Linked DNA regions of Elephas maximus indicus. The protein of the gene in region 1 purifies or fractionates together with the protein of each later gene. This does not show direct contact. Links are inferred from orthologs where the notes say so. Each region holds a gene or a part of one and is shown on either strand. Other genes may lie near its edges. The genes, in order: PPP2R2D, PPME1 and IER5.

What was found.
Region 2: the proteins of PPP2R2D (region 1) and PPME1 purify together in Homo sapiens (affinity purification with mass spectrometry; 4 studies listed by BioGRID and IntAct, counting the BioPlex papers as one, with this or other methods). This does not show direct contact. The link is inferred for Elephas maximus indicus from reciprocal best matches to the Homo sapiens genes PPP2R2D and PPME1.
Region 3: the proteins of PPP2R2D (region 1) and IER5 purify together in Homo sapiens (affinity purification with mass spectrometry; 3 studies listed by BioGRID and IntAct, counting the BioPlex papers as one, with this or other methods). This does not show direct contact. The link is inferred for Elephas maximus indicus from reciprocal best matches to the Homo sapiens genes PPP2R2D and IER5.

What each region holds. Positions count from the first base shown.
Region 1 is NC_064834.1:81,627,915-81,635,260, reverse strand, and holds the start of PPP2R2D (serine/threonine-protein phosphatase 2A 55 kDa regulatory subunit B delta isoform), read right to left. Parts: upstream 3,077-7,346; 5' UTR 2,918-3,076; coding exon 2,911-2,917; intron 2,838-2,910; coding exon 2,745-2,837; intron 1-2,744. UniProt on the Homo sapiens protein: Substrate-recognition subunit of protein phosphatase 2A (PP2A) that plays a key role in cell cycle by controlling mitosis entry and exit. Involved in chromosome clustering during late mitosis by mediating dephosphorylation of MKI67.
Region 2 is NC_064825.1:48,323,551-48,330,644, forward strand, and holds the start of PPME1 (protein phosphatase methylesterase 1), read right to left. Parts: upstream 3,103-7,094; 5' UTR 2,866-3,102; coding exon 2,765-2,865; intron 1-2,764. Other genes in the region: C2CD3 (C2 domain-containing protein 3), read left to right, coding at 3,488-3,542, 6,434-6,703. UniProt on the Homo sapiens protein: Demethylates proteins that have been reversibly carboxymethylated. Demethylates PPP2CB (in vitro) and PPP2CA. Binding to PPP2CA displaces the manganese ion and inactivates the enzyme.
Region 3 is NC_064842.1:44,213,362-44,219,475, reverse strand, and holds IER5 (immediate early response gene 5 protein), read right to left. Parts: upstream 2,114-6,114; 5' UTR 1,912-2,113; coding exon 877-1,911; 3' UTR 591-876; downstream 1-590. UniProt on the Homo sapiens protein: Plays a role as a transcription factor. Mediates positive transcriptional regulation of several chaperone genes during the heat shock response in a HSF1-dependent manner. Mediates negative transcriptional regulation of CDC25B expression.

The DNA.
Region 1 (7,346 bases):
TATGATTAAAGCCACCCCAAACCATTAGCTATAAAAACAAAACACTGTCTTTCATTCACTTTACAATCTTCAAAGTTCAGAGTGCCTACTTTTAACCCTCCTTCCCCCAACCCCTCTACCTCTGCAGATACCACCCTCACTGAAGTGAGGTGAGGTCTCTAGCTTCAATTTCTAATGCCCTTTCTTATCACCCATCCCAAAGGAATGCAGAAACATGGTCTAAAGCGTAGGGTTAAGGCTGACTCACGGTAAAGCTCAGGCCAAAATAAAGCCTTCGCAGGCACGCCTCAGAGCCATGCATTCGTTCAGATTTCAGCGCACCCCAAGTCCTCCGGTCAAAGCTTAGTCCCTCTCACGAACTACCTACCCATTCCCTAGTAACTCTCTGAGCATCAAAATGTCTTCATTAAGGTTGAGTTTGGGCCAGAAATTCTTCTGCAAAGCATTCTGCCAGCTTCTTTTTACATGTTGCTTAAAAATTACCAGTTGCTAAAGATTGCATTTTCCTTAGTTACTGTCAAACTCTACGTTAATGATGCAATTCAAATTCATATCACAACTATGTGACAAAGTAAAGAACACCTAAAAATGTGTTAACCCTGCCAAGTGACTAACCCCTTGAGTGGGTTAAAAGAGAAAGTTGCGATACACACACTATCAGCGCAAAGCAGTCACCAAAATGATGGCAACTCCAAAACGTGAAACTTCTAGATGAGCTCAAATTTCTGCTCAAAACCGGGGTTTAAGGCTGCAAAAACTTCTAATCAGTTTAATTCTGAGAACAAAACCTTTCTGTCCCCATTCTTGTAAGAGAAAGAATGCCATCTTCAAAGTATCAAGTCACACTTAAAATATACCATTTCAGTTATATTTAAATTTCTATTCATTTAACTTGGCAATAAAAACTTCTAGAAAAAAGAAAGAAACCAGAAACTAAGACAGGCCTTAAGCTCTGCCACCAAACAAACATTTTCTGCTTTCCTCTCGATAGAAATCACCACTTCACCTGGGTAAAGGTGAACTGTTCCCTACTTGGGACATAAATCAAACAACAAAAGTAACATATTTTAGATTGATCCAAAGGAAACAGAATCAACGTGCTTGTTTATGCTTATTTACACTATATAAAATCATCAAGCTACAACCAAAAACCATACACGACTTCACAAATTTCTTAGAGTACAACTGCACTTCCCTAATCTGGGCACTGTCTGTCCCATGGGCCAAGGCTCGCAGATGTCCCCAAGGGTCATGCATCAAAGGAGACACTGCCAGGAAGAAGCACAGGGAGCAGGCAGAGGGAGTAAAGGGCACAGGAAGAGCCAAGGTTACTTGGGGCAGGGAAGATGAACTTGGTGCAAAGCATCAGCCAATGACAATTCACTCTTGAAAAGTGAAAGGCTCACAATGTTCAGTAAGATGGCTGAACAACAAAAAAAGTTTATTATTCTAAACCTAAAATGTTAAACTTCTCAGTCTCTAAAAATCATTTTTACACTCAATTTTTCCCTTTAAGATGACATGTGGCTTCATGGGAAGCTGAGAGAGGCAGGGTACACCCTACGGAGTTTCCCACCCAGTCCTGAAACTCTAAGCCTTAGCCCACTTGAGACTATTGTGAAAAAACCACCAGCCAATTTAATGCAATGCCATAAGGTTCGAGATTAAAACCTAAAAGGGAAAAAGAAACAGACATCAAGATTGGTGGTAGAATTCAATAATTTTAGAACCCTAGAAGGCAGTCTTAAGAATCCAGTAGACCAACTCTCTTCTTAGAGAGGAAGAAACTGAGCCAAAAAAAAGAGAGAGATTAAAGACTGCGCTGGGGTCTAGAGAACCGTGGGCCCCGTCCCTAATCCTCAAGTACAGTCACCCCGATTTTAAGTATCCTGAGTCCCCAACTTCTGCAGTTATTTTCTTAGTTCCACCAAATACAGGAGGCGGGGGCCACTTCCATTGGGAAGAACCCAGAACTGGGCTCAAAATACCCCCGTTCTCATCCAGTCTCCGCCACTCCCCCGGTCTGTGACCTTAGGCTACTTACATAACCCCTCTCAGCCAATATCCCATTAAAAATGACACATCCGTGAGCGCACCAAGAAACCATCACGTACAGAACAGCGCCCCACTGCAGCCGTCCCCACGGGGCGACTCCTCAGGCCACCATGGCCACCAGGCAGAGGGGAGCGTGGTCCCGGGGAGCGGGGCGAGTGCCGGCTTGTCCCTCTCAGACCTGAACCCGGGCCCGTCCCCCCGCGTCTGCGCCCCCCAGCCCGTGCCCCAGGCCTGTACCCGCACGTCTGCGCCCCTCGACCTGTGCCCCGGGCCCGTCCCCCGCGGCTCTGTCGCCCCTCGACCTGTGCCCCGGGCCCGTCCCCCGCGGCTCTGTCGCCCCTCGACCTGTGCCCCGGGCCCGTCCCCCGCGGCTCTATCGCCCCCCCCGGTCTGGCCCCTCCAGGCTTGCCGTCCCCCTCTCCGGCCTGAGCCCCAGCCTGTACCTGGGCCGCCCTCCGAGGCCCGCGAGCGCCGGGGGCCCGGGAAGTGCTCGGGCCGGTCCCTCTCGGGGCCCGAGGTGCGGCCGCGGCCGGAGGCGCGCACAGTGACCCGGACCCGGGTTGCAGGGCCCGGCGCGATTCCGCTCGGGCGGCACTGCACCAGCGGGACCGCGCGGAGGCCGAGGCGGGGCCGCGCGCCGGGACGTGCCCGTCACGCCAGGAGCTGCGCTCGGGCCGGCCGAGCCTTACCTTCCGCCACATCCTCGTCGATGGCCCCCTTCACCTGCGAGAAGCACCACTGGAAGTCGCCGCCGCCCGCGGGGCAGCCGCCGCCCCCGGCTCCTGCAAACACACGAGGGGCATCAGGCCCGGCCCCCGCCCCCGCCCGTCCCGCCCCCGGCGCGCGGCCCCTCACCTGCCATCGCCGAGGCGGCCGGCGCTGAGGCGGCGGCGGGCGGACGATGCCGCGCCGACTGCGCGCACGGAACGAGCAGCCGCCGCGCTACCGCCTCCCGAGAACCTCAGCCCGGCAGTCGCCTCCGCCAGTGATTTTTTTTTTTCCCTTTTCAAAATGGCGCCCAATGCCCGTCGCCCCGCTCGATGACGTCATCCCTCCACCTCCAGTGAGAGGGGCCGGGGCCGGGGGCGGGGCCTGTCCCGGGAGGGCGGGGCGAGGCTGGCGTGCGGCCCGGGGGCTGTCGGCGACGCGCCCCGCGTGGACTGCGCCTGCGCGAGACGCCGTCGCGCGCCCGGAGCCGCTCCCCGCCCCATGACCCGCGGTCGGGAGGAGACGGTTTAGGGACGCAGGAGGAGCGCCGGGCCGGCGGGTGTCCGGAGCTCCTTGGAAGAACACTTGCGGGGCCGCTCTCAGGGAGGGTGTAGAGGGCTCGAAGCGGCGACCCCGAAGCACCCAGTGGACAGGCTTCGAAAGCAGGGTGGACACTCGACTTCCAGTGCTGACTCAGCCTCGCTCTCAGGCGTGCCCCACCGCCAGTCTGAGCCCCGCCCCTCGGACCTCGACCAATTGGAGCACCGCCCTTTTGCGAGCCCTGCCGCGGAGCAGCCAATGGGGGCGCGCTCGGCGCAGGGCTGTCTGGGGGTGGGTGGGCGTGGCCTCCGGGCAGGGGTGGGCGAGGCCTGAGTGCTGCTCTGGCCCGCCCCTTGGAGCCTCGGCCAATGGAAGGAGCCAACAGGGGCGCACTAGGCACGGCGATGTCCGGACGGGTGGGGCTTCCCGGCCCGCGCGGCGAGTCCGCAGGTTCGCGGCCAGAACCCCGTGCCGAGTTCGCCTGTGTCTGTGAAGTCGGCGGCTCAGGGATTCTTGGAGCTACCTAGGGAGACACTTTGATGAAAACCTTTGGTTTGAAATACAACGTGGCTGGCCTCTTCTTCGTTTGTGGGTTTGTTTTCTCTGGTATCCGAGAGATTACCCATTCATTTATGGGTTTCACCGGTATCTGAGTCCTAACTCGTATCAGTGATGTTGCAGAGTTGGCGGTGGTCGCATTGCACAGTTAGAAGACAATGCTCCAAATCAGGAGAAACAAGGACCTAGAGTCTCCGTTCACTGAAGGAACGGTTATTGATGGCCACGCCCTGCTCCAGCTGCCAGGGTGCGGCGGGGGCAGAGAGTCTGACCTCCCCAGCTTATATTTCAGACAGGGATTCCGGCGACAACAAGAGCAAGTTATGTAATAAGTCACATGGTGCTAGATAGAAAAATAAGGTAGAGATCGGGCAAAGGGCGTATATTTGGGGTGTGTGTGGGGAGAACTTGCAATTTTAAACTGAATGATGAGGAGGACCATGAGGGGTTGAGGGAGCCAGCCGTGCAATATCTGGGAAAGGTTGTGCCAGGAGGTGGAAACAGCGGGTGCAATGGCCCTGGGGCAGCGTGCATCTGGCAACAAGCAAGGAGCAGCAAGGCAGGAGGCCGGGGGTGGGGGAGCAAAGTGGGTGAAGGGAGACGAGGTAGACGTGAAGACAGGGAGGTAAGGCGAGGAGAATGGAGGGTGTGCCCATGTGGGCCCATTCAAGGATTCTGATGGGTGGGGGACCCTATGGGGGTGATGAGGAGGGGAGGGTGGTGACCGATGGGGCTGTAACAGGCCACTGTGGCTGCCGTGCTGAGAACAGAAGGAGGGACTCCAGGGCCAAGGCAAGGAGACCCGTGAGGGACCACTGCCGGGTCCAGGCAAGGTGATGAGGGGTGTGGACGTGGGTGTGAAGTGAGAACGGTGAGAACGGTTGGATTTCAGAGCCGCAGTGTTGCCAAGGCAGGGCTTTGGGTGGGCGTGCAGGTGGGATGGATGTAGAGGAAGAAGGGACCGAGGGACCACTGCACTCCTGGGGTCTGCAGCCCTAGCTCGAGGAGGGAAGGACCACAGAAGGAGCAGTGTGGCAGTACAGGCCCAGGGGTGGCCATCAGCTGAGGGAGTGGTGGCAAAGGCAGCTAGACATCCGAGCCGGGATCACAGGGAGGTTGGGGCTGGAGTGTGAACTCAGGGTCAGCAGCATCTTGAGGCTGGAATGGTGAGATCACCAGGAACGGGGGTGGATGGGGAAGAGAACCGAGGTCAGAGTCCGGAAGGGTGTGGGAACAGAGAATGGAGGACAGAGGAGCAGCCTTCCTGGAGCTGGGCGGGGAGCCAGGGACGGGATGGGAGCTGTGGCTCTCCAGTGCTGCAGGCGGGTGGCATCAGACAGGCTGCAGGGTGGACCTTAGCTTCCCCGGTAGGAGCCCAGAAGCCCAGAGCAGCTGCCGGGGGGGGGGGGGCGGTGGTGGGGGCAGTGAGCACCACAGCCCTTCGGGAACCTTGTCAGGAGAAGCAGAGACAAGGCGCCATAATCTCCCCTTTTTATGTGCAGATTTGTCCAGCCTGACGGTGACCGCAACTGAAACGTTGGCCAGCTATCAGACTGTCTTCTGTGTAATTGCTTTGTGTATGGAAGGAGTCCCTGGGTGGTGCAAAGGGCCAACGCATTCACTTGTAATCAAACGGTTGGAGGTTCCAGTCCACCCAGAGGTGCCTCGGGAGAAAGATCAGGGGATCTACTTGCAAAAAATCGGCCACTGAAAACCCTGTGGAGCACAGTTCTACTCTGACACGCGTGGGTCACCGTGGGCCGGAGTGGACGCCACGGTAACTGGTTTACTATTTTTTGTTCCGTTTTACCATTATGTGTGGAAAGATAAGTCTTTTCAAATGATGGCAAGATAACTTGGTTCAGATGTGTTCTTTCACGTATTGGCTACCATTAAATTACATTAAAAGACAAGGTGTGGTCCACAGAAGTAGCATATTCCTGACAATAGTGAGCTGTCTTCCTTGGGACCCACCCTGCGTCAGCTGGCCTGCAAGAAGTTTTAACTCTTCTTTTCTGTGATAATAAAGAGCTTTAAATATCTCTGTGAATTTCACTGTTTGCATTCTAATTGGTGTTGACAAGTCTTGGGTATTGCAAGACAGTTTTCTTTTTCCTTATCATAATTTTTAGAGCTCATCGCGAGTTGTGAAGTGTCTGGTGTGTATTAGAGTCTAGTGTACTGTACTCACACAACGGAATACTATTTAGTAACGAAAAAGAACAAATTACTCCTAAGAGCGACAGGGGCGAATCTCAGAAATACAATGCTGAACAAAAGGAACTAGACACAAAAGAGTACGTGCTGTAAATGGTGATTCCGACCACGGCCACCCCGTGCGTGCAGGGTAGAACTGCTCCATAGAGTTTTCTAGGATGTGACCTTTTGGAAACAGATCACCAGGCCTGTCTTCTGAGGTGCCTCTGGGTGGGTGCAAACTGCCAATATCTCAGTTAGTCATCGAGCGTTTGACCGTTTGTGTCACCCATCCGGCGACTCCTTCCTCTCCATGATGTCACCAGGAGTCAGAATCTACTAGATGAAAAAAAATTATTTTTTAAACAGTCTGACTGCTGAGCCTCCGTTTAGATCGCTTATAATATGGAGACAGGAAAAAACATGGTTGTGGGAGGAGGCTGATTGTGAAAGAGCAAGAGATACCCTTCTGGAGCCAGGGGGATGTTGTATGTCTTCACTGGAGCCAGGGGGATGTTGTATGTCTTCACTGGAGCCAGGGGGATGTTGTATGTCTTCACTGGAGCCAGGGGGATGTTGTATGTCTTCACTGGAGCCAGGGGAATGTTGTATGTCTTCACTGGAGCCAGGGGAATGTTGTATGTCTTCACTGGAGCCAGGGGAATGTTGTATGTCTTCACTGGAGCCAGGGGAATGTTGTATGTCTTCACTGGAGCCAGGGGGATGTTGTATGTCTTCACTGGAGCCAGGGGGATGTTGTATGTCTTCACTGGAGCCAGGGGGATGTTGTATGTCTTCACTGGAGCCAGGGGAATGTTGTATGTCTTCACTGGAGCCAGGGGGATGTTGTATGTCTTCACTGGAGCCAGGGGAATGTTGTATGTCTTCACTGGAGCCAGGGGGATGTTGTATGTCTTCACTGGAGCCAGGGGAATGTTGTATGTCTTCACTGGAGCCAGGGGAATGTTGTATGTCTTCACTGGAGCCAGGGGGATGTTGTATGTCTTCACTGGAGCCAGGGGGATGTTGTATGTCTTCACTGGAGCCAGGGGAATGTTGTATGTCTTCACTGGAGCCAGGGGAATGTTGTATGTCTTCACTGGAGCCAGGGGGATGTTGTATGTCTTCACTGGAGCCAGGGGAATGTTGTATGTCTTCACTGGAGCAGTGGTCACAGGTGTACGCCATTGTCAAAACTCATGAAGCCACACACTTAAATTGGGTCCATTATATTGTACGCATGTGGATCACACATTGATAAAAGTTGATTTTTAAAAAGTCTAACTTAC
Region 2 (7,094 bases), on another chromosome or scaffold:
GAAATTGGTGGAAGTAACACTTCATAAATCAGCACTGATTGGGGAAAATGAAAGACTGAATCCTAGAGTATCTGCAAAGGAATAAGCTATACAACTCAAATTAGTATTTCCAGGATAACAACTATGAATCCAAAAAACAATGGGTCTCAGAGTCAAGTGACCCTAGTCCTTAGTGGCCCTACCACTAAGTTCCTAGGCTGCCTAAGAGCAGGAACACCTGAGCCTCAATTTTTTCGTTTATCAAGAGAAAATATCCCCTGCCCTAGCTTGCCTCACAGAATACAGAATTCTCTGAGTCTCAGTTTCCTCAACTATAAAATGAAGTAGTGAAATGAGATCACTTCTAAGCTCTTGTCTAGCTTTATGAGTCTAGATAAGACAGTCCATTCTGTCACTACCATCAGACTTAGGTGAGGCCTTGCCAAGGTACCAAAAAGGAAGCAGAAAACAAAAATATAGGAAAATAAGCCACTTGAGGATCACACAAAATTCACCAATATAGTAAAATCATGCTCTTCTCTTCCCAATACTATGATAAAAACGCATCTTCCTAAATAACTTTATTTTTTCAAGATAAGCAGCCAACCTAAATCACGAAGCCCAAAGCATCTATTTAAAAAGGACAAGTTACTGAAAAAGTTAAGTTACTAACAACTATACAATCTTCTAATCAGCAGATTTCTCCTTTGTTTTCTCGTGGTTATTCCCCCCCACCCCTTCCTCTTCAGAGAACTGGTTTTGACAAGGTGAGGAGCTGAGCTCTAATTAAACTTACTGAAAGTACAGAGCCCTAGTGGCATGGTGCTTAAGAGCTTGGCTATTAACCAAAAGGTTGGCAGTTCAAATCCACCAGCAGCTCCTTATTAAAGCCTATGGGGCAGTTCTACCCTGTCCTATAGAGTCACTGTGAGTCAGAACCGACTCAACAGTACCTAACAACATCAAAGTATATATAGTTTAGTTATTTTTAAAAATATATTTTTTATATTTATAGAGAGAGTGTGCTGGTATACTGAAAGAGGAAATTTTAGTTTGAAAAAGGCAACAACTAAATGTTACATTAATTTTATACCCCAGATTAATTCTCCCAAATAATCTGCTATGGATCAGTTTCCAGATTCCCTTTATTCATGTTAGTCCTACCTTCCATTCTTCCAAAGCCAAAGCAATCCTCATTTTATCTTTCATGTAGCCTTCTACCACGTCTTTCTATTGTGCATACACCAATCTCTCTCCTTCTGTCAAAGTTTCCTCATTTCTTCTACTGTACATCTTCGTTTCCTTCCCTGGTTTCTCCAACCATTCTCACCATCTCTCTGCCCCACTGTTTTAATTTATAGGATTCTCCTTTCCCTTCATTCCTAGGACCTAATTTCACAGTACTGCATCTCTTGCTTATTTCATTTTTGATCAGTTTTTGTAAATTATTACTTCTTCAGAACCTACAGTTTCTCCTCAGGAGTCCTCGTTTCCAGAATATCAACCAACCCACCTCTGGAGTCCCAAACACACATTCTTCACTACTTCATACCTACATATCCTTCCTACCCCTTTTCTACAGTCACTAGTCCCCAGAATTCTGACACTACAAACACCCCTCAATCCCAACTGATTATTCAATTCCCTTTACTTTCCAGCAATTGCCTCTCCCATCTTCAACTTTTATGACTTCTTTCTGTTGCCTAAGTATCCCCAAACCTGGCACAAGCCATTCAGTGACCTAAAATTCCAAAGCCTATCCCTTCCACACGGCTCCATCTCTCCCAATCAAACTGTTTTCCCCCAACACTTTCTTATTTTAAGCAGCTACTCCCAATGCTTCATGACTTCTCTGAGAATTGTAAGGCCAGTACGTTGCTTCCCTCAAATCTACTTGTCCGGCAAAAATCAACTGTCCAAATCTTTTTCTTAAAGCTTCCCAGACCTCGCCTCTGCATCATTTCCATTCACTAAACCCTATTCTTAATCATTTCTCAATCCCTAGGGCCCACCATCACTCTCTAAACTCCTCAGACCTCTCCTTCGTCACTCCTTCCCAGCTTCTCAAAAAACGTTCCTATTACCCTTAACAATCTTCCTGGCTATATTCTCCATCTTTCTTTAGGCCTATTTACCAAGCTTTCTCAGTTCACCCTTAAGAGACCTAATCTATTAGTCACCCCTCACTCCCTGGATCTGTCTCTTATGCCTCTGGGAACTCTGTCTAGAACCTTCTGCTCCTAAGCTCTCCTTTTTTCTTCCCCAACCCTACCTCAGGTGTTCCCTATGCCCCTCAGCTTTTCTAAAATCTAGTTCTCACAGTCTTCTTACTACTCCCAAGCCGTTCCCCCAATTCCCCTCAACTTTTCTCTCAGTCATTCCGTATTTCCTCCAGCACTGCCTGGCACATTTACCTCCCACCTTTGTCACGGCTCTATTCCTTTCCTCAAACCTCTTTCATTCCTTCCTCTGGAGGTGCCTCCCACATCCCTTAATTATCCTCTCAGTTTCCCTAATCTTTGCCTCATTCCCTTTCCCTTGAACATCGCTATTCCTCTAATTTTTCCTTCAAGCCAGTCTCTGATGGTGTCCTCCAATTTCCATTGACCTGGCGACTCCTCTAGTCTCCCAGATCTGCCTTCTACTCCAACCAAACCTCTCCCAGGCCGCTGCCAGCGTTCTTCTATCCTTAGCCTCTCCTCCCGTGCTGCTCTAAACGCCCAGAAACGCCATTCTCCAATGGCCGGGGCCTGGCCTCTAGGGAGAAGGGGTATGGGTCACGTACCCCATTCGCATCTTGGCTCCGCTCTGACTGCCCCCGCTGCCGGGTAGGGGAGGGCGAGAGGGCAGGCGGCCAAGGTGCATGCTCTTCTCGAGGGCCGACATGAAAGCGAGGCCGCACGTACTCAAACAGCAGCCGAAGCTTCGTCCCACGTTAAGTGTGGGCCAACCGGTCACAGATGGCTCCCTAGCGACGCCCTGTCGCCTTTAGACAGCCCTCAGCCACCGGCAGCACCGCCTACCGCCCACCGGCTCCTCAGACTCCACCCCCTCTCTCAGCACCTCCACCGGAAGTGCGCCACAGCACTCCCACAAAGGAAGCTGGGTAACGGAGTCTGCGGACCGCTGAAACCCCAAGTGGAGAACTCGACAGCTCTCGCCGGAAAGACGAGCCCTCTGAAAGGCAATGCACCCTGGGCAATGGAGTCGTCTAAGGGCCTAGCCCTTCGCGCTTGCGCAGCGGGAGGTGACCGCTTCCGACCCCGCAGAGGTAGCATAGCAAAGCATCCTGGGTGTTGTAGTCTACTGGCGGGAAGGAGTCTTGGCGCCTTCCATTCTGACGGCTTCCCAGAAACTGTTAAGGAGAGAGTTGCTTTTTCCTTCCTCCCAGGCTGCCCAGCGGCGCCGGTTGCCGGGGAACGCTGGCGCCAGGAGAAGGGATGGCGGGAGGGTAAGACGTCGGTGCTGGGTCCGGAGCTAAGTTGGTGAAAAAGAGCTCGGGTTCGGCATGAAACAACGAAAAGGCCAGGGACCTGGGGGTGGCCGTGGCCGCAAAAAGAGAGGTAACCCGAGCAACCAAAGGCTGAAAAAAGCGTAACCGGGCGGGGTTTGGGCAAGGAGCAGGGTTTAAAAGAAAGATGGGACGAAGAAGGAAAATAACCAAGGAGTCAGAAGGTTAAAAGAGAGGACAGTTGGCCCTCCAAAGAATGAAAAGGAAATGGGGTGCGACGCAAAAAACGGGAACGAGTGGGCTGGTGAGGGCTAAAAAGGTACAAGTAGGACATCTCTAGGAGAGGGGAAGGAAAAATTCCAGGAGTGTTTTTAATAACAAAGTTAAACGTGTGGGGGGGGGGTAAAGACTTTGAAGGTCTTCAGGGGGCCACAGGAAACATAAGTTGGAGAGGGGACTAAGTCAGTGGGCAAGAACGTTTTATACATTATTGGATCCCCAAGGACTAGCGCAAAGCATTACTCAATAAATGTTAGTTGAATGAAAGAAGCAAGTGAGGCCTACCAGCGAGAGTTGGGAGAGTTGTGCAACAGAGAGGGAGAAAAGAGTGGGTAGTGACGAGCTGAAAAAATAAGGTCCCAATGTGTCGGATTGGACTTAACAGCAAAGGGGTAGTGACAAGGTGTGGTAGGATTGGAGTGGGAGTGAAGGCATGAGGATCTTCTGAAGGATGTGAGGTGGCTAGGAAGGGGAACATTAGAGGGCAGGCTGCAGAGATGCAAGAGGACCTCATTAGGTTAGGACACTGATGGAGAAACAAGGTGTCCAAAAGGGTAGGAGTGTGTTAGCTGTAGTGAGAACAGTCATGCTAGGAACCCAGGGCAGATCAGAAAACTGGAAGTTGGATCTCTCTAGGGCTGCCTTCAAGAAAAAAAGAAAATTAGGTGGCCATGACTTTTTTATATTATGGGCACTTTAAGAGACCCTGGGTGGTGCAAGTGGTTACATGTTCAACTATTAGCTGAAAGGTTGGTGGTTCCAGCTCACCCAGAGGCACCTCAGCAGACAGGCCTTGCCATCTGCTTCCAAAAGGTCACAGCCTTAAAAAACCCTATGAATCAGTTCTACTCTGCACACATGGGGTCACAATGAGCCAGATGGCAACTAACAACAGCAACAGTGAAGAAAGGGTATTAGGAATACTGATAGTACATTAAGGCCATTGGGTTGAAGGCTGAAGCTACTGTATGGGAAAGAATCTTATCCAAGCTGTAAGGCAGTTGTGAGGCAGTGCTTTTCCTGCCAGATATGGTAGGAGAATCTGATACAGAGACATGGAGGTTTTCAATGCCAGTGCTCCCTTTGGCAAATCAGTCAAGCACATTTGATTGATAAAAGACAAACCAAAGTAGAAATGACAACCGTAGTATAGAAAATAACGTCCTTCTTGCTATAACAGATGCATATGCAGTGAGGCACATGTACAAACCTGTGTATAATTTTTATATTGAAACTAATTATCCGTAAAGATTTCATTGTTGTTGTTAGGTGTGGTCAACTTGATTCCCATTCATAGTGACCCTATAGGACAGAGTAGAACAACTCCATAGAGTTTCCAAGGAGCGGTTGGTAGATGTGAACTGCTGACCTTTTGGTTAGCAACCGAGCTCTTAACCACTATGCCACCAGGCTCCATAAAGATTATGGTGGGAGTTTTTCCATTATGAAGGGCAGTAAAGGGTATTTGCTTCAGAAACCTAAAGAATTATTTTTGTAGATTCCTGATCTGTTAGATTCTGGTTCAAGTGTATTTTCTTATGAGGCATGACCACTCTTCAAGAGAAAAGTCAGAGGAAAACTCAAAGTCACATGGTGAAATGATGCTGTGAATGGAAGACAAGGCCGTTAAAGCAAAGCTTCATAGAAAGTCATGATAATTGCCCCATGTTGATGTATTATCTTTCTGAAAGCCAATAAATATTGTGAATCCAACAATGTTCTAAAAAGTAGCGGCAGAATGTAAAGATGATAGTCTCTGTCTTCATTGACTTTATGATTTTGGTAGGAGAGACAAGACACAGTTTAAGATGGTCTTTATTGAAATATTGGATTGTGTGGCACACACTAAATTGTTTGGGAGTTCAGTGAAGGGAGTTGTTGCTGTTTTATGTTTAGTTGATAGTTTTTTAAAATAAGTGAATTGGGTAAAGATAACATATCTTAAAAATCATGGATGTTGCCTTAAAACATCAGTATTTGGCAGCAAAAATTCAGCTATTTCTGAGATTTTAAAAAACTGTATCATTGTATTTGTATTTTTTAAATTAATTAATTTCAATTAAAGAGAAGTTTATATTAGTATGTCTTAAGTTGGTATGTTCTTTACTTAGAATAACCTGACTCAGAGCCTAAATACTAATGGGCTATCAGGATGGCTGGAGTCTCTGGTTGGCTCAAATGGTTATAAACACTAAACTACTAACTAAAGATTAGCGGTTAAAACCAACCCGGAGGCACCTCGGAAGTGTAAGGCCTGGCTTCCGAGAGGTCCCAGCCTTGAAGACCCTGTGGAGCAGTTCTGCAGTGCAAACGTGGTCACCATGAGTTGGAATCAATGTGATGGCAACTAACAACAACAATCAAAACCAAAACCAAACCCACAGCCATCGAGTCAATTCCAACTCATAGCAACCCTATAGGACAGGGTAGAACTGCCCCATAGAGTTTCCAAGGAGCACCTGGCAGATTCAAACTGCCGACCTCTTGGTTAGCAGCTATAGTACTTAACCACTACACCACCAGGGTTTCCCAACAACAATCAGGGTGGTGTAAACGACCAGATAGGTTATTCCACAGCCTGGTTAGCTAGTTACTTATCATGTATTGAAGTAGGTAGAAAAAACCTTCTCTCTGTAGAGACTAAAGTGTTTTTTGTTTGTTTTTCATTCATGATTTTTATATTTAGTCTAAATTTTGACTCAGGGTTCTTGGATTATTCCACAGCTTTGAGTGATATTTCTCCATCTACAAGCCTTCCACCTCTGGTTGAAGGCCAATTGCGCTGCTTTCTGAAACTTACTATTAATAAAGTCATATGGAAGATTGCAAAGCCTCCCACTTGTGTACTTGTCCGAGTGAGATGGTGGGGAGAAACATCAGACGGAACCTTCTTTTGTCCTAGAGATGCTTTGCAGACTGAGCCAAAAGCTGTGAGAACAACCACACGTTATGCTGTTCGCTGTGGTCCAAAGCAGTTTACCTCTTATCTAACAGGTATGTTTTTGTCTTATTTAACCTGCAGGTCTAGTAAGCATGTGGTTATGTTGTTAGCAATAAGTGTTATTGTGTTCCTAGTATGTGGTGGGCATTGCTACTTGTTGAAGAGTCAAAGAGGCTTTATAATAACCATTTTATTGAGTATACACCATGTGCTAACGGTTTATATGTATTATTTCTAATCTTTAGAATAACTCTGCAAGATAAGTAGTTCCTCTGTTTTGTAGACAGTGAAACTGAGATTCAGAAAGATGAAATGAATACTCTCTAAGTCACATGGTTGATAGATGGCAGAACTAGGACTTGAGACACCAAAAATCATGCTCTTTTCACTATACCATGCTTCTTCAGTTAATAAGTGTAATGTCTCTGCTTTTGGCTTACATTA
Region 3 (6,114 bases), on another chromosome or scaffold:
TATCAGCTCCCCCAACCTTTATACAACAAAGACTGGAGTCGCCATGTCTACAAAACCATAAGGTCTTTCCACTTAGGGCTTCTGTCTGTAAACTTTGTTTCAGGCAACACTTTTTAAAAGCACTGTGTAGTAGTTCTGAGCTAGAGCTTTTAAAAATATATCTTTTCTCTATGAACTCCCTATTTCCAAGCTTGAACTCTTCTGGGAAGTTTATCAAGCTTTCTACCCTGTGAGAAAGAGATGGGCTGTTAATATTCCCTTTCCCAGAGTAATCACAGGGTATAAACGTTTCTTCGTTGAGAGAGAAAGGTGGGGAGGGAGAGAAATAACATAAGTCTCTGGCTCCAGACTAAATCCCTCTAGTCTTAGGAAATCCTGTGAGGAAACGCCACTCCGGGCCCTGGTGTGGCTCTAGCTTTCATGTGAGGGGTGTGTGTAAAGTCCCTTCCTCCCCTGAGAACGAATGGGGAACTCCCCATTTTCTCCGCTTCCTTCTCGGTGCTGTCGGCAGAGGAAAGTCCCTGTCTGCCCCCGATCTCTTAAGCCCGCGGGAAGGGGTGATGCATTCAAGAAAGACAAAATAGTCTTAATTCAACAAGACAAACTTGCATACACACAGACATACACATACACAAAAGTTAACAATCGTTCTCTTCCCCAAAGCCTCCAACTCCCAAGTCTCGAGACGAGGCTCCCGAGTCGTGGCACAGCAGGGCTGCCGAGCCCACAGGCAGTTTCTGCCGCCCGGCAGCCACCAGTCTGCCCAGCGCGCCCAGCGCCTACGGTCTGGGGGGTCCTCGCAGCCGGGAGAGGCCCAGCCCTCCATTCGAGGACGCCCACTGCTCAATCTCCTTCCCTCGCAGGGACCCGGGGGGCTCAGAAGGCCACGATGGCTGTGCTCCAAGGGCTCATGTCTCTCAGCACCGGCTTATCGCAGCAGATCTGCCCGGGCTCGGCGGCTTCCGGCGCGCTCTCCTCGCCCTCTTCTTCCTCCAGGCCGCCCCCGGGGCTTTTTTTCCGTAAGAGTCCCGAGAAGCTGGAACCGAAAATGCTAATGAGATTCGCCACGTTACCGGTCTCCATCTCCTCCTCCTCGTCTCCCCCGCCCGGCTGCTCCTCCAGGTGCCGGCGGGGCTTCTTCAGCGGGGTCGAGTCGGGCACCGGGCAGCCCGCGGGGCCGCCGCCCGCCCCCGCCGCGCTGCGCTTCCTGGGGCAGACGGGGGGCGGCGCGGGGGGCTCGTCCTCGGCGGCCCTGGAGGCGCAGCGGCAGTCAGCGCGCCGGGACCCGGTCGGGGCGCCCGGCTTGTCCTCCCTGCCCACCGGGCAGCAGCAGTGGCGGCGCGCGGCCCGAGGCTCCTCGGGGAGAAGGTCCGAGCCTCCGGCGGGGACCCCGGGCTCTCCGGCCTCCACCTTGTGCGGTCCCTCCACCTTGTGCGGTCCCTCCACGCGGCGCCAGGCAGCTTCCGCCGCCTCCGCCTCTCCGCCCAGCAGAGTGTCCCCGGTTCCCGTCACAGCGGCCGCGGGCTCCGCGCCACCCGTCCGCGGCTCGCCTGGGGCAGCGGGACGCTCCGGCTGCGGCTCGGCCTCCTGCCAGGTGGCGCGGGCGGCCGGCGGTGGCGGCTCCCCCCAGCCGGCGGGTGGCCTGGCTGCCGGCTCCCGGGACTGCTGCGGCTCCCGGGTCTGCTGCGGCGGCTCCCAGGACTGCTGCGGCGGGGCGCCGGGGCTCCCCGCGGGGCCGGCCAGGTAGAGGCCCGGGCACGGGTCACTCAGGTATACCTGGCGGGCGCTGCGAAGCACCAGCGAGACCAGCAGGTTCTTGTGCAGCTTGATGCCGCCGCGCTGGACCCGGGAGTTGTAGATCTTGCCCAGCGAGATGCTGACGATGCGATGAGCCTCCAGCTTGAACTCCATCCTGCCTTCCCCTTGCCCAGGGTCGGCGCGGAGGTGAGAGGGGTGAGCCCCGGCCGCACGTTCGGAAGCTGGGAGGGGAGAGGCGTAGACAAGCCCACTCCGTGGGTGGACCCTCGGAATCTGAAGACTCCGAAGACAAACGACGGGTGACGCTCGCGCTGACCCCCTAGCCCGGTCACACAAAAAGCCGCACACTTTTGGGTCCGGTCGCTAACTGAGGGCAAACCTGCCGGCCCGCGCCTTATATAGGCCCCTCGAGCGCCAGCCAATCACGAAGAGCCGCCAACCGTTCTGGGGCCGGTAGGCGCGCCCGTGTGCTACGCACCCAGCCAATCGGAGAGCGAGGAGGGGAGCATGGGCCGATTCGAACGTTAGTCCCGCGGAGCAGGCTCTTAAAGGGGGCGACGGCGTGCATCCGACAGACGAGTGCGGTCTGGGCGGGTGATCGGAGGGCGGAGGGCGAGTGTTTAGGTAGGAGATGTACTCACGGTTGCTATTGTTGGAAATTAAAGATTGTGGCTTGTGCCCTGGCTTGCCAAAAACAAAGCTCCAACCATTGGCACTTTCATCTGCCTCTGGCAGTGGACTCTGCTCGACAATAAAGTCCTGCTCCCGCCCCATCAGCTCCCCATTTCCGGGCAGCACGCACCTGTAGATGCCTGGTCACCGAGGACATGGAGAAGATGACAATATCTGCAAGAGGAGACCCTGGTAGCAGGTACTTTAAAGTAGTATTACTACAAGATGTTTGGCAAATACACGTTTTTAAGAGTTCCTTGCACCGGAAAACCAATGGCACACACACACTTTACCACCTGCCAGTGCTAAAAGTTCCTAAGGAGTAATTGAGTGGGGCCAACAGTTAAGCACTGCTCAACCACTAGCCAAAGGTTAGCGGTTGGAACCCACCCAGAAGCCCCTCAGAAGACAGGCCTGGTGTTCTGCTTCTGAAAGGTCATAGCCTTGAAAACTCTATGAAGCACAGTTCTACTCTGACACACGTGGGGTCACCATGAGTCAGAATCAACAGCAACTAACCGCAACAAAAGTCCCCGTTTTAGGCTTCTTATCAAAGAATTGTGCCTAAGTCCAAAAGTACTCGTTCTCCACTAAACATCTATCCCTTTGTTCTCTAGATTCTAGAACACACCCGTTTGTCACATATGTTACAAATAAAAAGTGTTACACATTTTCCAAGATGATTTTTCTTCAAGAACTGACCAGTCCATCTTTGGAAAATTCTAGCAAATGCTAAAAATACAAATAGAGAAGTCCAGTGTTCCCATCGTGATGTCATAATTTTATTTTGCATCAAGGTAAAAATATAGGGGGAGGGTGTTCCAGAATTATCTGGTCAGTCAGCAACTTATTCCATTTATTGATTCTTAGTACATGGCATCAGAGCAGAATCACAACAGGGTTGTCCAGGGTCCAGGACTGGGAACCTGGATCTGCCTGATGAATCTGGGCAAATAACCTCAGGATGCTTTAATTTTCCCAGCTCTAAAAAGGAGAAGTCACACACCCATCTGGCCTATTACGGAGATAATGAGTGACAGCTCTCAGCCACAATCTGAATCATAAAACTAAGCACAGCTTTCTTGGAGTCCATGTAGGAGTGTTTGCCTGATTCTGCACCTGGGTTTGGCCATGTTGTGCATTTAGTTAGGAGAAATACTAGTGAAAGAAGGTGGGCCTGATAATGGCCAGTTCACAATCAGGAGGCCAGTGGGTCAGTGGCGCTACCTTTGTTTGCCCGTACCTTAGTGGTAACTGGTTTTTTTTTCCTACTGGTAAGTGAGATACAAGAATGTGAGACCCAGAGTACCCCGCCTGAGAATTTTCAGCCTGAATAGAGGAGATGAAATAATGATGTAAAGAATTATGAAAACAAATAACATTTGTTAAATAATAACATAAGAAAGTTTTTCTTTTGTTTTCTCTTTCTATGAGTGCTATTAGTCACTATAAAACAGTGGTTAAGAGCACAGGCTCTGAAGACCAACTTCCTTGTTTGGATTGCCCGTTCCATATCTTATTTGTTGTGTGACCTTTGGCAAGTTATTTTCACTTCTTTATGCCTCATGTCTTTTTCATGTGATAAGAGAGGTAATAATTGTCCCTATCTTGTGGAAATTTTGTGAAAATGAAACAAAGTAATACATGTAAAGATCTTAAAACAGCACCTGACATTTTAACTGCAACAAGAAAACCAAACCCATTGCCACTGAGTTGACTCCGACTTACAGCACCCCTTTGGGACAAAGTAGAACTGCCCCATAGGGTTTCCAAGCCTGTAAATCTTTACAGAACCAACCTTTCGGTTAGCAGCCAACTGCTTAACCACTGCACCCCCAGGGCTCCTCACCTGACATATAGTAAGCTGTTAATATCAGTGTATGTTAGTTGTTCCTGTATATCCATTCCATCCACACACAATATTGGAGTGGGAGAAGAACCTCGGGATAGAAGGTATACAAATAAAATTGATTCTATATGGATCAGCACAAAGGTGTTTCCTATGAGGCGGAGGTTAAAGATGTCCCAAATGTCTCGCTTTTCCAAGCCGCTTTACCACTCCATCATCTCTAACATCAACTACTCCCTCTCGCCTCAATACTCTCCCTCCTGTCTTTGGATTCCCTAATTTCCTGCAACATCCCACAGAACTAATGGACCATATAAAGGAAATGGCTCACGGGGTTTTAGAGGCTGGCAAGTCCCAGATTTATAGGTCAGGCATAGACTTCTCCCTGGCAGTCAGTCTCTGCCCAAAGGCATTCAGCTTTCCTGCTCCGTGGGCCTGCCATCTCCTGCAAGTCTCTGCTGCTGATCTCTCCTTCTTTGGTGGTGATGGGCTCTCCCGCTGCTCTTTTAGGGCAAGACTGACCAATCCCATTGGTAGGCCACAATTGCCCTATCACAGAATCACCTGGGTGGGAGTTATAAGACCATGGCTGTAAAGGCCACGCACAGAAGTAATTAATCCACCACAGAAGAAACTTTCACAGAAGTACTTGAGAACAGTGTTGAAAAACACTGAGGGAGGACCCACAAGTTCCAAGCAACAACAGCAGCAGCAGCAATAGTAGCAGAATCTAGCACAGGGAACATCCAATTTGGCAGGTGTGCCCAGCACCTGCACTGAAATAAGTGGAAAAGGCTAGAAGCAGAGACTAGGACTGTATGATATTGGGTCCTAGATGCCTCGATACGAAGATGGGACCACAGGGAGCTACTAAAGGTTGTTGAATAAGGGAACGACAGAATGGATAAAACTGTTGGCTCAGGAAGACCACTGAACTATGAAGCTCATGTGAAGTTTAGGCAGAGTCCTGAAGGCCTCAGCTAGGGTGCAGGTAGCAAGAATGAAAAAACAGAGATAAAAGGAATCTTTGTGATGATCTAGGATGCTCCCCTGCCCCCGGCAGGTCACTGATAGCACAAGCTTCTTGCCTTGGGTGAAGATTTCTGGCCCGCCCAAGCTGGTTCATTTCACTGTCCTCAGGGCCACCACTTAGGCAGGACATTCCTTTATCGCTGCACTTATCACTCTCTCCTGCCACGCCCAGAGCCCCTCCAAGACTGTATTCTCATTGACAGCAAAAACCCATTTCATTTATATTTGTAGCCAAGACATAGTCAAAGTATTTGAAACCTGATGTGACACTGGCACTAACCACCAGAATAGGGTCCTGGAGGCCCTCCCAAAGTGCCAGGGGTTATGGAGGGCTCCTTCAGGAGCGGCTGGGTGGCCAGGAAAGGAGGCACTTAGGGGGCCTGGGGCAGAGGTTTTACCAACTGGCCTGGAAGTATTTAAATATTTTAACAACTGGTGTGGCCATACCCATGCATACTGAGTACTACGTGTTTGAATTAATGAATCCCTAATGATATTATCTACCAGGCACTGTGTTAGTCACTTTCCATGTAGTATTTAGCATCCTTACAAAGTTTTGAAAGTATATATTATCATCTCCATTTACAGGTGAGGAAATTAGATTACGAGAGGTTAAGTTACTTCCCCAAAGTTTTACAGCTGTTGGTGGAGGAGATAGGATTCAACTCTGAACTTATTTCAGTCTGAAGCTTGAGTGTGGCCTTTGGGACTAGATTGCTTGGCTCTATCTCTTATTTGCTGTGTGACCTTTAGAAAGTTATTTCACCTCTAGGTAAAATAAGAAACCTATGGTCTAGTTATGT